Linked DNA regions of Notamacropus eugenii. The protein of the gene in region 1 binds, or shares a complex with, the protein of each later gene. Links are inferred from orthologs where the notes say so. Each region holds a gene or a part of one and is shown on either strand. Other genes may lie near its edges.

Evidence for each region.
Region 2: EIF3I (region 1) and EIF3L share a complex: the UniProt entries of both Homo sapiens proteins name them as parts of the eukaryotic translation initiation factor 3 (eIF-3) complex. The link is inferred for Notamacropus eugenii from reciprocal best matches to the Homo sapiens genes EIF3I and EIF3L.

Annotation. Positions count from the first base shown.
Region 1 is NC_092876.1:77,630,173-77,638,484, forward strand, and holds the start of EIF3I (eukaryotic translation initiation factor 3 subunit I), read right to left. Parts: upstream 3,454-8,312; 5' UTR 3,365-3,453; coding exon 3,362-3,364; intron 3,229-3,361; coding exon 3,136-3,228; intron 1,914-3,135; coding exon 1,826-1,913; intron 1,624-1,825; coding exon 1,558-1,623; intron 628-1,557; coding exon 478-627; intron 374-477; coding exon 243-373; intron 112-242; coding exon 1-111. Other genes in the region: TMEM234 (transmembrane protein 234), read left to right, coding at 3,507-3,522, 3,834-3,985, 4,164-4,230, 5,442-5,506, 5,780-5,872, 6,143-6,370; DCDC2B (doublecortin domain-containing protein 2B), read right to left, coding at 7,133-7,183, 7,627-7,730. UniProt on the Homo sapiens protein: Component of the eukaryotic translation initiation factor 3 (eIF-3) complex, which is required for several steps in the initiation of protein synthesis.
Region 2 is NC_092874.1:295,368,279-295,376,779, forward strand, and holds the start of EIF3L (eukaryotic translation initiation factor 3 subunit L), read left to right. Parts: upstream 1-4,769; 5' UTR 4,770-4,851; coding exon 4,852-4,884; intron 4,885-5,584; coding exon 5,585-5,633; intron 5,634-6,675; coding exon 6,676-6,886; intron 6,887-8,204; coding exon 8,205-8,284; intron 8,285-8,501. Other genes in the region: uncharacterized protein, read right to left, coding at 500-2,173. UniProt on the Homo sapiens protein: Component of the eukaryotic translation initiation factor 3 (eIF-3) complex, which is required for several steps in the initiation of protein synthesis.

The DNA.
Region 1 (8,312 bases):
CTTGGCAGTATTGTCCTTAGAAGCGGTGACGAACATTGTCATGTCTCGAGATGTCTGGATATCGTTGATCTGCCTTGAGTGCTCCTTAACATTCACCATCACTTCACCAGACTGGGAGAAGGCATGGTGGAAGGTACATCACTCCCCCTCTCACCACCAGGAGGCCAGAGCTGCTGGGAGGTGATCCCAGCCACTCTCCCGAGATCCTGATCCTTCCACACTCACCCCTCCCTGGACCTCACCTTAGCACTGTACTGGTTCAGTTCCCCATTTTCATGGCCAGCAATGATGCATTCCCCCAAGGGTCCCCACACGGCACTTGTGATCTTGGCATCAGCATTACAGGGGATCTTCATGTATGGTTCATTGCTATCTGTTTGGGGGGTAGTAAGTAGACAGATGGTGAAGACTGGCTCCAGGCTACAGTAGACCCCACCTCCACTCTGAGTCCCTGAATCCGCACCCATATGTCATTACCGATCTGGCTGGGGTCCCGGAGATCAAAGAAACTGACAAAGCACTGGTACCCCATCTGCTTGTCCGTGGAGAACATGATGATGTTGCCTCCAAAGTCAAATCCGCATGTACGGACAGCTGAGTTGGTCTTCAGCAGAGCCAGCTGCTTTCCTAGGAATAAGTACAGAATGGCTAACTGCTCCTCCCATTCCTCAGCCTCCAATAGGCCCCAACCCCATCTCTACCAAGCTTTACTGTTCCATTGGTGAAAATGACCCCTCAGAAGGTTGGGCTCAGGTCAGAGAACAAGACATTAAATAAGGCAGCATTGAATTCTGCACCCCACCCCCACTTCCCCAGCCTCAAGTCAAAGACGCTCTGATGTCACCAACTCCAAATCATGCATGACCAGCAATGCTTTCCAGACCCCTGACAAGTGACCATTTGTCCTGTGCTGAAGCCCTCCCAGTTTCCTAAGGCAGGCCGTTTTACATTAACAAGCTTATTCTTAAACTGAGGTAAAATCTGCTTCCTTCAAACTGGACAACAGATGTCCATCCCTGAATCCTGAGAACACACTAGGTAACTGCTTCACCCAGTCTGGGAGGGGAATGCCAGGAACAGGAAGCCTGAACTTTCTGACCAATCATCTTAGGAATAGGTTCAGCCTTGCAAAATGATCCACTAATCTATGAAGATATATCTCCAGAATAAGCATTGCCTTCTAAGCTGATGCTGGGAGCCACGGAAAAGGAGGTATCAAATCCATCAGCCTGGAGAAGGCAGCACTACGTGTGGGGAGGAGCAGGAAGCCAGAAGAACTGGGTTCTGGGCCCATCCCTGCTCCTAACCTTGTGACTTGGACCAAGTCACTCCCCCCTCTCTGGGCCTCAGTTTTCTCCTTCATGAAAGGACAGAAGTTGGACTACAAGATCCTCAAGTCCCTTTCCAATTCTGACATTGTCTGAGTCTACCTGATATCCAATACCCCATTAACACTAGTCAAGCCCATTCCCAAATGACCAACTCCACCCAGTGACCAGACCTGGGAGGCCAAGGCAGTAAATGAGGGGCCCTAACAGAAGTAGATCATCTGATTACCTGTCTCACAATCCCAGAGGCGGCAGCTGTTGTCGGCAGAGCCGGTAAGGACATGTTTGGTGTCCCCTGGAGAAGTTGTTAGGGAATGTTATCAAATTCATGTGTCACCGTTTCCGTTTGGCAGGGAGAAAGGGAGGCAGGAGAAGCTGTCTGAATCTCTTTAACCCCCCCCCCCCCCCCCCCCCGAGACAACACCACAGTCGGGCGTCTCTGTCTTTGACCAACAGAGAATACGCCAGCTCTTTAAGGCAGCAGCATTAGAGGATACAATCAGCATCCACACACCACACAGCTCCAGTGTGCCCCGTGTAGGTGCCCAGCCGTTCTCCGTTTACCGAGTACCAGACGTTGACAATCTAGCGAAGCAAAGACGTTAGTTAGTTTGCTGAAGAGGAACCAGGAAAAAACCTTCCCTTCCCCCCAGAGTCTGCCAGCAGCCTCTATCTTGCTGGCTCTCAGCCTTTGCCTCCCCTCGATAACTCCTGCCTCCCTACCAGGGAAACTCCCTAACCAAGCCCCTGTGAAAGAATATGTGACTGGGCCTTTAAGATCAAACTGTGTCCTGTAGCATGCCCCAAACAAATGATTTGAGAACAGATTTATGTCTTGAACGGGGTACCCCAGAAGTCTTAGTATACTTTGAAGCTTTAGTAGCCGCTAAATTACATGTTTTGTATATCAATAGCTATTCAGTTACATATGTATCTCCCTGGTCCTCCAAACCATTCACACATCTTCCCTCAAGGTAACTTGTAGCCAACTTCCTTTACCGGATATTGATTCTACCTCAGCAGGCGAATGTTCAATCTGACCCCCTAGTTTTCAGCACTGACTGACCCCTGACATAAAAGGCCCCATCTCTGCAGAGGCGCAGCAGCCTCCTCAGGTAGCAACCACACTAGCCCTGTCTCCCTCCTGAGTCAAGAGGAGGTTAAAAAACAAGCTGAACCAAGTCAGCCACCATCTACATCCAAGGATGAGAAATTCTCCCCAGGCGATGGGCCAGGGATGGGTGATGATGGTCGTAACTGTTTTGTGGGCAAACTGGAAGGTAGCAATGAGAAGGTTTGTATAGCAGGAAGAACCTCAAAATCAGGAGACCAGGGCTCTAGACCTGATGTGTAAAATGGGCAGGGGGTTAATCATGATAATGAAGGGTTGTAGAAGCTCCTTAGAGTTTACAAAATGCCTTCCACACTCGGCCTCATTCCAGCGTCACAACCAATCACCTGGTCAGATAAAGTGAGATTATGGCCCCCTTTTACAGAGGAGGACACAGTTTGGGTGACTTGCCCAGGGTCACAGAGTCATTAATAAAGCTCTGAGGCTGGAGTCGAACTTGGCAGCGCTCTATCCACTGGGCCATCGAGCTGCCTCTATGCCAACCACATGAAAACGAGCACTGCCTCAGTTTCCCCACTCCTCCAGTCTCCCATGCAGCCCCCTCCTAGCTGCTTCCCTCCCCGCTCTCCTCTAGGACCGCCCCAATCCCTCCCCCCTCTGCCCCTCCCCCTTCCCAGCGGAATTCCCCGTCCTCTCCAGCCTCCCCTCCCCCCGCTCCGGGCCGCGCATGCTCACGGGGTCCTTGGCGACGGTGAAGAGCAGGTCTCCCTCGCGGTTGTACTTGATCTGCGTGATGGATCGCTCGTGGCCCTGGAGCAGGATCGGCTTCTGGGGACGGCACCGGGCCGGGGGAAAGAGGAGGGGGGGGTCACTGTCAGGGCACGGGCTTGGGCGAGGGCACCGTGTTCTGCCCCCTTGGCCTCCCACCCCTCCTTGCTTCGCCCTCCCCAAGCGGACTCACCATCGCGGCGGCTGAAGCGACCGCACCGGCGCCACTGATCCGCGCAGCAGCGTGAGGGACTTACCGGAAGAGAGAGGGACTGAGCTTCCGGGTCACGGCGCCGGGCCGGCCCCGGAAGTGGAAGCCTTCCTTTTCCGGCGTTGTCATGGCGGCGACTCTGGGTGAGGAATTCCCAGCCCCTCCCCCCACCTGCGTTCCCAGCTCCGTTTCTTCCTCTGTAATAATAAGGACGGCGGGCGCCCCGCGCTTTCTTCAGGTGTTCCCCGGGAGCCCTCGGGGAACGCCTCCTTGGGAATGGTCATGGCCTCCGTCCTACAGACGGGGCCCCTGAGGCTGCTGCTGGCCCGGGGGACGCCGGTAGCCAGTGCCGGAAGCGCCCCCCGGCGCTCAGTTCCCCGCCCCGGGGAGGTGGGGGGAGGGCTCCGGGGGGCAGCCCCGCAGGGTGAGTGACGGGCTGGCCTCCCCCTCCCAGGGCAGGCATGTGCCCTGGTGCTGGTGGCCGTGCTGTGGGGCGGCTCCAACCCGCTGCTGAAGAGGGCCACGGGCGCCGTGGAGCCGGTGCGGGCGGGGAGCCGGCTGGAGCGGCTCCTGCGGGAGACGAAGGCCTTGTTTTCCAGCTCCCAGGTAGGGCCGCGTGCAGGGGTCCCCGAGATGGGGGTGCGGAGGCCGGGGTCGGGCATCCCGTCCTGAGCGGACCAAAGCGCTGAGGGACTGTCCCTTCCCTGGGCTGGCAGACAGCGCCTCGGATGGCTCCGTGCCGCCTGCTGCGCTGACCCCAGCCTTTCCCTCCTCTCCACCCCAGTATCTGGTGCCCTTTTGCCTCAACCAGTGTGGCTCCCTGATCTACTACCTCACCCTGGCATCAACAGGTAGGTGCGTCTCTGCTTTGGGGGCTGGTCGTCTGGGTGGGCTGCGGCCAGTAGGCATCCAGCCTGCCAGGGAGGTTCACGTAGCGATCTAATGCTTCCTTAGCAGCTATAACCGTGCTACGTTGTGGGACGGGGCTTCCCACCCTAGTAACCTTGGCACGTCCCAGGCATTGGGGGGGTGAGAGATGGATCCGGGCCTGAAGGAGACAATTCAGTCTTACCGAAGGGTACGTAACATTTTCCTGACACCCCTCCCCCACTTTGGACTTGGCATTCAGGGACCTGAGTTGGCATCCTATTTCTGCTACCGTGGTGACCTTGACCAAGACGCCTTACGTCTTCGGGCCTATTTTCTCATAGCCAAAGGGATAAAAAACCAATTGGACAGGAGGGGATGGGTTCATGGGTTGTACGGGATAGACAGGCATGGTTGCATCAGCCGAAGAGAATGCCCCCAAGGAACCACAGATCCGTTAAATATTTGGAGGGCAAGATGACACCACTAAAGAATTCTTTGCTTCTTGGACAGATCTCCTACTCTTCCATTTGACTTACATGCAAGCAAATAATGCTTCCCAGGCCTTCTTCACATTACCATCTACTCAGGTCCTTTTTGGACAACGTTTTGTTTATTCTTGTCATTTTCTTTATTCTGTTCTGTATTTTTTAGCGTCAACCAAAAGGCATAAATTACTCCTCCACCCCTAGAAGATTGAAGTATATTTCCTTACTTTTAAAAAAATCCCTTTCATTAATGTGATGTGGACACTCCTTTCAGGATTTAGGCTTTAGGAGTTACCTTTATGAGTTGCTGCATCCATTCCCCATGGTGATAGACATAGCTTGGTTGGTTTTCTACACAGCTTACTTTAAAGTCTTTCTAGTATCCTTTTGGGATGGGGCAAGTTTGGGGGGGGCAGGGTGTGAGGTCTGTTGTTACTATGTCTAGATCACTGAATTTGCCCTGCAGAATCTGAGTTCAGAGACTGTGAGCACCATATGACTTCATTGTTTAGTGTGAAAGGTCGTGAGTGCTGAAAACATTAGTATTCTTAAGAACTTGATCCCTCCCAAGAGTAAAAGAGAAATAAGGCTTGGATTAATAGCTGCACTCCTCCTGACTGGATTTTCTTCATTGTTGTATTTGTTTAACTGTCAAAGCTCTATACGTGTCTGTCTTTTAACAAGTATAATAGCTGGCATTTCTGTAGCTTTCCAAGGTTTGCAATGCACTTTACATACAGTAGCTCATCGGATCCTCACAACACCCTTTGAGGTAGGTACTGTCCTTATCTCAGTTTTATTGACAAGGAACCTTGTCAGTTTAAGGAGGTTTAAGTGACTCATCCAAATGACCTGTTGTGAGAAATGGGTGTCTGCGGTGGAATCCTAGCCTGAGTCTTCCTGACTTCAAGTCTATTACTTGGTTTTTCTAACCTAGATAAACACCCACACCCCTCCTATTAGACCAGATCTTTGTGAGGGCAGGGAATACCTTTCCTGCTTTAGAGTGGACCCCAGGGAATGTCATCAAACTGTTCCCCTCCAGATCTGTCCCTGGCTGTGCCCATCACTAACTCCCTGGCCCTTGTTGTCACCCTGGTTGTCGGGAAGTTCCTTGGGGAAGACATTGGTGGAAAATGTAAGTAAGACCACTCCTGGGGAGAAATCACTTGCCAGGCTCTTAGGTGCCCAAGCTGGGTGACTTCTGTGCATTTCAAAAACCTATGGTCTTTGGGGGGATGAGCATCTAGTCTCTGGTGTGTCTTTTAGCACACTTGCCTCTTCTTTCCCTACAGTCAGGGTAGGGAACCTTGGAGTATGAGAAGACCTTTTCCTTTCTGAGCCACCACTTAGCCTTGTCTGGCACATAGTAAGTGCTTACTATTGATTGGCTGATTGATTGACCCAGGTCCTGCCCTGGGAATGGTGCTCACCGTCTCTGGAATCATGCTCTGCATTGCAAGTTCAGTGGGCAAGACAGAATAACGACAGGATCCTGTGGCCAGCCCTACCCAGAGACGACGGAGCAGTGGAGCAGGGAACCCTGGGCTGGGGGAATCCTGAGCCACCTACGCTTGAGCTTTCCTTGAGAAGGCTGTCTTTGACTTCCCCTTGGCAGTGGCCTCTTCCTCTATGATTCAGTGAGGCCTCATGGGGAGGAGCGGGGCTCAAAGACTTCACCACTTTGAACCTGAAGTTTCATGCCTTGGAAACTCCCTCCCCTTTTGTTGTGTGACCCAACCTCTCTCATGACCTTGGCCTCCAGCCAGTATTGTGGTTTGTGCAGAGCACCCTGGATGTCAGGTGCAGAGTACCCGTCAAGCTCAAACTTAGGGGCCTTCTGAGCCTTGGAGCTGATGTGGGCTGGGGCTGGTGGTGAGTCAGAGCCCACATGTGCTACAGTCAGTTAGACACCTTCCTTCCTCTCCCCGTCCGAGGGCCCCTGGTCCCCTAGGTTGAGAGGCTAGCTTCATAACCAGCTTTTGCTGCTCTTTTTCCTGGTCCAGACTTTAGAGTGGGATATGGTCTGGAGACATGGGTAAGAGACAAAGCTCAGATAACCCAGAAGCCAAGAAAACATTCTTCTTTATTAGGCCAAAGTGTGTATGCCCCTGTGTCCTTCCTACCCTACCTGGTATCAGACCCAACTGGGTGGTGGAAGGTAACCCTTCTCTTCCCCTGTCTAGGCAGGCTACTTGCAGGTTTGTGGGCCAGGCAAACTAGAAACGTCAGTGGGGGATCACAGCAGAAGAGGGTGGGTCGGTTCAATAAAAGCCTGTGCCATGGCTACTGATGGAATGCTGGCTGGGGGCTGGGAAAAGGGAGGGAGGGAAGGAGGTTGTGCAGGGCTTCTTGGTTTTCCAGAATGGCATCCAAGTTTAGTTCCATACCACCTACCCTAGGCAGCATTTTCCAAGAAATAGGCTTCTTCAACCATTTCTGCAGCCCTCTGGAAGAGAAAGAACAATCAGCTAGAAGGGAGCCAACTTAGATCCCAGAGCAGAGACCCCTTAACCTAGCAGAAGTGCAAAGGGCCCCTGGAGACTATCTGGTTCACGAATCCCCTGTACAGATGAAGGGACTGATTCACTGTGAAAGATGATAGCTGTTCAAGGTAACTGGGCCCAGTAGACAGTCAGGGTGCTCCCCTGGAACCCTTGTAATGGCCTCTAGCAGAATGGATCCCTAGTGGTGAAATTATGGGAGGATACCCATAGTCTCACCAGAGGAGCACCAAAGGGAACTCGCAAGCCATTGGAGTGTGGTGGTAGAGCCAGGATTAGAACCCAGATCTTCTGATGCCTACTTCTCAGCACTTTGCTTCACCTTGGATGGATTGTGGGACTCTACACACTCTTCAGCTATTCTCTTCTAAGGCCACAGACCCCATACCTGATCCAAGGGGACCTCTGTCAAGGTAGTCCCATTCTCTTCTACTTCCTGGGCACCTGCCAGTTCCCTCCTGGCATGGGGTGCACCATACACACTCCTTTCTCCTGTGAGGAAGGGGGTACATGTTGATGCTGTATTGAGATCATACAGAAGATAGAAAAGCATCTGTGGCCAGGATTCCCTCTCCTTGTCTCCAAGCCACTGGCTTCCCCTCCTTACCTCTGACCCACAGTCAAGGACTCTTTCCTTTTTCTCTAAGTTAGTCTCCTTCCCCATACTGACTGCTTTCCTCAGTCATGTTTTTGGCCACCAAAGAGTTTCATGGGATTAAGAAACAAGACGAGGTTTCTAAGTCACTGGTCATATCCATCACCATTTGGCATCTTCTGCCCCACTCAGCATTAGAAGCAGCAGCTGTGATACCTCATATTTACATCTTGGTTTACAAAGCACATTTTCTTACCACCCCTCAAGGAGAATAATTGCAGAGTAGCTTCAAAAATGGAACCTGAGCCTCAGAGAAGTTCAGCACTTTCCCCACTGGAACACAGCTTGGTGCCAGCTGTTCTTTGCCAGCCCATGCTGGAGATTAGACCACACTGGGCCTAGGGCCCAGACACAAACCACTTCCCTGCAGACCAGCCTATTTCTGGAGATACCCTAGTGGGGAAGGGGAGGGAAAGTGT
Region 2 (8,501 bases), on another chromosome or scaffold:
AAGGCCAAAAACAAGTGTTTCCAAGGTAAGGGTGAAGCACAGGAACAGGTCAAAACCCTTCCCCTCAAGGTAGTCCAGAAGTGTTCCTTTTTTTTTTTTTTTTTTTAGTCTGCAAGAAACACATCTCTCTCATGCCTAGAGAGCAGTTTCTGCTTTCAAGGTCTCACAGATTCTGGCTGAAAGGGTTGACAAGTCAAGGCTTTTTAATCCTTTGTTCCTCTGCTTAGGAGAGGTACAAAATCTGTTATCTCCAGGCACCAAGGGGCTACAAAGAGCACCTTCACCACTAGTCCTTGGACTAGGCATTATTAAAATCTTGGAACAGAAAGTTCTTCCCCAGAGTTTAGGCATTTAAGGCAGAAGGTGAAATTACAAAAGAAGACAGAAAACAATTCTCCTGATGAGGAGTCATATCTCAGAGAATGGGCTTGGATGCCCCACTCCAGTCGGGGCCTTAAGGAGTGACTGTCCCTCTGGCGATCCTGAAGGGATATGCCAGTTAGCTAAGCTGGTGTTGGCGTTTTAACCGATAAGGGCACTCTCTTATCCAATGACCAAGCTGTTTACAGTAAAAGCATGCAGAAGGGTCAAAAGACTTCTTAGGACGTCGTTTCCTAGGGCCTCTCCAGACAATCATCTTCCTCTCCTGCTCCAGCTGCCAGTAGTAGTGAGCTAGAGGTGCCAATTCATGGACACATTTTTCTTCCCACCCCACACAAAAAGTACGCAGCTGTTTTTGAACTTGGGGAAGGAGGCCTTGAACAAAAGCGAGGGCCATCCCCTGGGTGGCACCACTGTCTGGGTCCTCAATGCCAGAATGCTCCTCAAAGACTTTTGTAAAGCGATTTAAATACACATGTGGCTGCTCATTTATTTTTTGCTTACAGGATATAATTTTCCCCCAATCAGATTTTCTGGGGCAGACCAGCAGGATAGCATTCAGTAAAGACCGCCAGAGCCAAACCAAGTACGGCCCTTCTCCAGGATCATCCATGGGCCAGAGAGCCATATCAAAGAGGCGCTGTCTGACCTTTGTGGGCAGCACAATTGTCAACAGTCTATTCATATCTGCCCAGGTGGGCTTCAAAACATGAATAATAAAACTCAGCTGATTCTTAAACTCTACTGGTTCTTGCTCAATGTCGGAGAGCTTGATAGCAAGGTCATACAAATCCTCATGCCTAAAAGTAGTACAGTCACCTGAATTACTTCTCCACTCTGGGTACTCTACTACTCTATGCCTGCGAGTATAGATCCAAGAATCTTCTGCATCTAAGGTTACAAAAGGTGTTGGGGTAAAGGAAGGAGGGGGAGTTAAAGGAAAGGAAGAGGCAGTGGGTGGAGCCTGAGCTGGCGCTGGAGGGGCAGCAGCTGGAGCATGAACTGGCACTGCAGGAGTAACAGCTGGAGCCTGAGCTGGCACTGGAGGGGTAACAGCTGGAGCCTGAGCTGGCACTGGAGGAGTAGCAGCTGGAGCCTGAGCTGGCACTGTAGGAAAAGCAGCTGGAGCCTGAGCTGGCACTGGAGAGGTAACAGCTGGAGCCTGAGCTGGCACTGGAGGGGTAGCAGCTGGAGCCTGAGCTGGCACTGGAGGGGTAGCAGCTGGAGCCTGAGCTGGCACTGGAGGGGTAGCAACTGGAGCCTGAGCTGGCATTGCAGGGATAGCAGCTGGAGCTGGCACTGGAGAGGTAGCAGCTGGAGTCTGAGCTGGCGCTGGAGGGGCAGTGACTGGAGCTGGAGGTTGGGGAGTTTCATGAGAACTCAAGGGCCCCTGACCATCCCCCTGCATCTCCTGTTTTGGTGGAGGGTGATTCAAAGACTCAAAAGCTCGAATCCTGTCTTCCAGTTTCTCAATGGAATCCCTATGATGCTGCTCCTGAGCAGCCTGGTGCCTTCGAGAAGCTTCTGTCTGCCAATCAATGAATGCTTTCCACTGGCCTCGCCCGACTTTAGAGCCACGAGATTCTAGGACCTCCTTCAGGTGCATTATTTTACTCAAGTCAAATGATCCTTCTTGTGGAAACCACAGAGAGTACTTCTGACCTCTCGTGAGCCTACTCCAGTCAAGCAGAAACCTGCAGCACTTAGGCTGGTAGTGGGTGTACATATAAAATGCTGGAGTTCCTTCCTTTGGAATGGCTCCTCTCTCATCCTTAGTCATGAGATTCCCCATTCTGGAGGCTCCTCCTACCTGTCCAACAAACAGTCCATCTCAAATTCACCTGAACGTTGGGCAACTAGCCCTCAGCCCTCACCAATCCCTCCTGAACCCTGATCCACAGCTCTCTGGGCTGGAGCCTTTACAGATCATCAGGAACCAGGTTTAATACTCAGCTGGGATAATGTCCTGTCTCGAGGATACCTGGTTACCCTGTTCTGTCCAAACAAAATTAACTCTCAACCATTCTCTATATGAACACAGAACAAGGTTGCATGCGTTAAATCAGCTGGAATATACAGTGTGGGGAAAGGACATTGATTTCATCCCTTTCAGCGGGCCAGAAGGGAACCCAGGAAGGCTGACCACGGGATTTGTGGAACTACCACAGGTACCAAGAGTCAACAGGTGTGCTATTCTGGGTGGCACATCCATACCCTATATCTGGAGAGGAGAGCAGAGTGGGGCCACACACTCAACTTGTTGCCCAAAGACAAAAGACTTCTTGGGAGCCCTGGTCCCTGGGCAGGACTCTGACCAAAGGAAAGGAGAAAGATCCTTGTCAGGGTGTTAGTGGCTGCAACATGTCATGTAAAAGGCGGTTACAGATACAGCCAAGATACAGCCACAGGCACTTGAAAAGTGGTTTATAAGCCAATTCCTAAAGGAAATGCTCTAAGCCTGTTTGAGGATCTAGTCTGACAGGCAGCTTAAGCCTGAAACCCCCCTGACAGATATCAAAAGATCTCTTACCTACAAGGGGCACCAGGCGCCTGGAGGTGACCAGTCTGGTGGGCTTCTGAGTCACAGGCTGAGAACTGAGAGGAAATGAAAGGGAAAACACTTAGTTGGCCAGAGGGAGGCCACAACGGCTGAGAGCCCCAACATTTTGCATTTTTTTTAATATGTACATCACCAGCGCTGGACTAGGGGACCCAAGAAGGATAATTCAGAGTTTCTTGTGGGGTGAGCTCCTTAAAAAGTTTTTAACCAACCTCAATCTAAATGAAAAGAGGTTGAGCCGGGAGGTCAGGCTGATGAAGCCAGAGGTGAAGGGCCGGTCCGAAAGGAAGCCCACCCTTCGGCTCTAAAAAGCCAGGACAAGGGCCTTCTGGAGCACGTGGGAGGGGGGAAGGGGCAGACTGTAAGGCGAAGGGGAGCGGGAGTACCGGGGCTAAGCCATGAGCATTTAGTAGACGCCCACTGTGTGCCATGTCATGTTATTTATATGCTCTACATTTATAATACTGTTTATATAACTCGTAAAATAATATAAAACAAACAGGCAGCTCCTGCCCTCAGGGAGCACGTGTCCAACAGCTGGCGCCGGGGTGGGCTGCAGGGAGAAGATGCAGGGTCACTCTCAGAGGCTGCCTAGTCCAGGCCCGGAGAGCGGAAGCGATTCAGGGGGTCGGTGTGGAGCTGGAAGAGACCTCGGCGTCCTCCTCACTTATGTCACAGAAAGGGAAACTGAGGCCCGGAGGGAAGCATCTTACCCAGGAGTCACAGAGCGAGACACCGGCCAAGGTGCAGAATTCGAACTCAGGTCCAAGAGGGACAAACTGCACGAGCAGAGAAGAAGCCTCTGACTCAGATGGAAACAATAAGGTCCCCTGGGCAAAGTCCCGGAAATGGGGGGAGGGGATGTGGGCGGGGGCTCCCGGGACTTTTTAAACCTGGTGCCTCCCCGCCCAAATAAGGATGTCTCAAAGCATCATGGGATATGTTGTTTGGACACAAGCTCTCCCCTCCCCCGCTCCACGCTTAAGCATCATGGGATATGTTGCCAGCCTCGTCTTCCCTAGCCCTGAAGCATTATGGGATATATGGGGGGGAACCCTACTAAAGCAGGTTCCCCATCACTTTGTAAGGCATAGCCCTCCCTGGCCCAGGAGCACTATGGGACATGTACTTCAAGCCAGACTCCCAAGGAACCAGACGCCCTCTTCCCAAAGCATCTTGGTCCATGTCTCTCAGACTAGTGTCCTGAGGAATAAGGCCCTCTTTCCTCACAGGCTGGGAAACGCTGTTAGAACTCGGGGATTCTGCGCAGATCCTAGCGTAGAACGCATGCGTCATCAACGCTTTTCTGTCCCGCCCCACCCCTCCGACGCTCCACCTCCGCCTGCGTCCGGGCTGTCCGTGTCTATCGCCTGTTCCAATCTCTATAGCCTCCAAGGGAAGGGCTAGAAACTCATCTCTCCATTCTGTTCATTGAAGGGGATAAACAAGAGCCATGAAATGCTTCCAAGCGCTCAATTCATATCCCTTATTTGGGTCTGGATCCCCTGTGATAGAAGCAGGCGCAGCTTAAACACCTAAACACGCTTTTTCGGAGACCTCCGTCTGCGTTTACTAATACGCTGGAACGGGGTGGTCGGCCTGGAGGAGGGCCCTCCATATTGGGTGTGTCAGACTAGGGTTTTCTTGCATTGGATAACTATTGGTTTGTTATCCTCTGCTGACACAAAAAGCAATAAAGCAACATTACCGTATCTCAGGCTCTCACCTGGGAAGCTGGAGGGGAAAAGCATGTTGAAAATCGAGTCACTTCCGCCACTCTCATCATGGCGGACTCTCCCGGAAGTGTGCTTCCTTAGGTTCCGCTTCCGGGAATATTGCGCAGGCTCGGGCGGCAGGCGCTCCCCACACGATTGCCCGCTCCTTCTCTGAGCCCAGACTGAGCCGCCGCCATGTCCTACCCGGCTGAGGATTATGACAATGAGGTAATGGGGGTCCCTGCTCCCTGGGTCCCTTCAGGGGTCCAGGGGGTGGGCGTGCGGTGAGGTGCGGGGCCCTCCCCCACTCTTCTCCCTTCTTCCCTTCGCCCCCCAACTTCCATCTCCCTTCCCCCACCCTCCTTTCTCTTCTTCCCTTTCCACTTCTCTCCGTTTAGTCTGTTCTCCTTCTTCCTTCAAATAAAAGAGAACGCCCTGATCCTTCTCCCAGCTGCCCCCTCCCCCGCCTCTAGAAATGGGCACGTGCCAGGCATTGCAGGGGGGAACGAGAAAGGCCCAAGCGGCCCCTGCCCTCGGGGATCTCCCATCTCCCCGGGGAGACGGCATCGGGGAGGGGGGCGCAATCTCAAGAGAAGGGGACTGAGCAGCCCCGGAAGGCAGAGGAGGCCCCCTCCCCAACAGCGCCTGGGAAGCTCCCTGAGGACGGGGGTCTGGCTTCCTCTCGAGCCCTCCCCTCCTGCTGCTTGGCCAGCGTCTCCCCCCTTTCCCTACGGCCGTCCCCTCTCGGCTCCCCCTCCATCCACGCTGCTTCCCGCCTCCCCCGGTCCCAGAGCTGGGCTTCTGTCCCTGAAATGGAAAGAGCCCCCGGCCCTGTCACCGGGGCTGGCTCAGTGCACCCACCCAGGGAAAGGCTGTGTAGCCTTCAGGCTGCGAACGAATGAGGTGGTCTTTCTTTCTCCTCCTCCAGGCTGCCTACGATCCCTACGCTTACCCAGGCGACTATGACATGCACACAGGTAAGACGCGCCGGCCCGCACTGGGCTGGTGCCCAGCCCAGTAGCACCAGCTCCAGCCAGGAGTCACCCTCAGGTGGGCCTCCTTTGGGGGTGTCCAGGAAGCCAGGGTCACCAAAAAGTGTTTGCTCAGTTTTCATTTCAGACAGAAGGCTCCGCTGGTGCTGAGGGGCGGCTGATGTTTAGGGGAAACTCAGTCATTGTCCCCAAGGAGCTGGTGGGGTGCTGGAGAAGATAGATGCTTGTTGAGACTATCGTGTTTAATTCTTTTGCACTTGTAATTCCACTGCCAGGCAGCCAGATGTCTTCATAAATCCTTGTCCGTTGATTGAGGAATAGTTACACATCATTCTGTATGATTTCACTTGATGACAGAAGTTATAAAACTCTTAATGTTGTTTGTTTAGGATGATCGTGGAGTTTGTGTGAAAGTCTTTTGTGAAAGGTGCTGTTTCTAAGTCACATAAATGCCGGTTACTATTGTGGTTTGGGGTGCTGGGAATCTTAAAATATAAGGAGCCCTGAAAAGAATTCAATCACTCAAGCCTTCTTTCAGTCAAAATAACAAGATTTATTTGTGATGCCAAAAAAGTGGCCTTTATTCTAAGTGAGTTGATGGGGATGGGACTGATACTTATATACAAAAATAGGTAAGAAGGATCAGTGAAAAGATCTGAATGGGACCGAGGAGTAGTAAATAGTGTGGGATGGGCCAAGTGCAGACATCAAAAGGAGTTAGGTGGTCTGGGCTGGGTTGGAGAGCCACAGTGAAAGGGTAGTTAAAAGGATTTTTGAGTATCTAGGTAGACTGGGGTGGACCATATACTTCAGGCCAGCATGGGAAAGTTCAGGGCTGGATTGTTTTCAGAGACATGGTCTTTTCCTTTTGAGGGTTCAGATCCCATCCTCCATCAGTTTTATAATTCAGGTTCACTCCAAACCTTTGCTTGCTCCAGGCCCTGGGGATTCCCAGGCCCCTTTTTTGGCTCTGCAGAGATTGAGAGCCATCAATGGTCTCATTCTTTCTTTCATCTCTGACCTGAAGGGGACCCAAAACAGGACCTGGCCTATGAACGGCAATATGAGCAGCAGACCTACCAAGTGATTCCAGAAGTGATCAAGAACTTTATCCAATATTTCCACAAAACTGTCTCCGACCTCATTGACCAGAAAGTCTATGAGCTTCAGGCAAGCCGGGTGTCCAGTGACGTCATCGATCAGAAAGTCTATGAGATCCAGGACATCTACGAGAACAGGTGTGGACGGTTGCCAGGGATGACTCCTCCTTCTCTCCTACTCTGGGTTGTATAGAGCACTTTCCTTCCCATGTCCCTGGGAGGGATCTGGGCTGGACAGGTCTACCCTCACTGTACTGATAGATTTGCTTCTTCTCAAACTGTGTTGGTTGGTTGGCCTGGTCCAGTGGCTTCCCAAGCTTTCCTGTCCATTTGGCTTTGTCTCCATAAGTTAAAAGTGCTGGGTGTGGCTCCTTTGACCACTCTGGACCTTACAAGAGTCCAGCTACATGATCTCTAAATAGCTCTAAATTCTAGCTGGAGACTAGCTGTTATTCTTAGAATAAGTACTAAAGTGTGTGGTGCTGTGGAGGTGTCAGTCAGCATTTATTAAGCACCAACTATGTGCCGGGCACTACTAGGCACTCAGCATACAGGTACAAAAGTGGAAACTTCCGTTCTTTCAAGGAGTTAACATCCTAACGGGGAGACCACATGTGTGTCCACAGAGATACATAAACAACTAGGTAGTGCCCTAGTGGATAGAGCGCCGGGCCTAGAGGCAGGAAGACACATCTTCCTGAATTCAAATCTGGCCTCAGACACTTAGTAGCCGGGTGACCCTGAAGGCTGAAGGAGGGTAGGGAGGCCAAGAAAACTCAGGACCAGCAGAGAATTGTTTCTAGGAGAAGCAGGTGATGAACAGGGGCAGCAGATGGGCCACAAAATTTCCTTTTTTTCTTTTGAGAAATATTTAAGAAATAGCATTGACAATGTCCTGGTTCATAATCCTTGGTCCCACCTGAAAATAATTATTAAGCCAAGGAGACAAAGCTTAACTTGAAGCCCTTGGTTTGGTTCAGCCTTAAAGACCTGGTTACATTTGCACCCAAGTTTCCTAAGGGTTCCTATTACCTGGACCTAAGATTGGAGTGGTGGCCAAGCAGAGATGTCTTTGGACTCTCCTGCTTCATCTGTGACCCCACTGGATGATTTGAGGAAGCAATTTTGGCAGAGGTGCCTAGACTTTAAAGTCACTTTTCTGTAAGTGAAAAGCCCTAAGACAGGACTTGGTGCTCCTGTTTTATTGGGAGTTTTGTCTTGTTTCATGAAAACAAGTGGACATCCCTGGGGCAGAGGTGGTTTCGTTAAACTAGAAGAACTGCCTACTTAGATCTCTCTTAGAAGGGATGCTGGGATATTAATGGAAAGTTTCTGACAGATACTGGCTAAAATGCAGGAAACAGACTTTTCTTTCATGGTGCAGATTTTCTTGCTTGATTGGTCTCTCTCCTTCCTCTTTCCCCCGCCTCCCTCTCCCACCCTCTCTCTCCTTTAGCTGGACCAAGCTGACTGAAAGGTTCTTCAAGAATACTCCCTGGCCAGAAGCAGAGGCCATCGCCCCACAAGTTGGCAACGGTAGGCTTGGGGGACTTGTGCAGACCCTGCCTGAGGCCTTGCTCCTTTTCCTCTGGGAGGAGAATCTTGAGGAGGGGCTGAGACTGAAACAGCCAAAGAGCACCAGCTTTGTCTCTAGACTTTCCAGAGACTGCAACCACTTTCTCTGTTGGTTAGAGAACTCTTTTCCCTGCCAGAAGTGTCCCTAGGTCAGTTTTACCTGGTGCCCAGCAGAGGG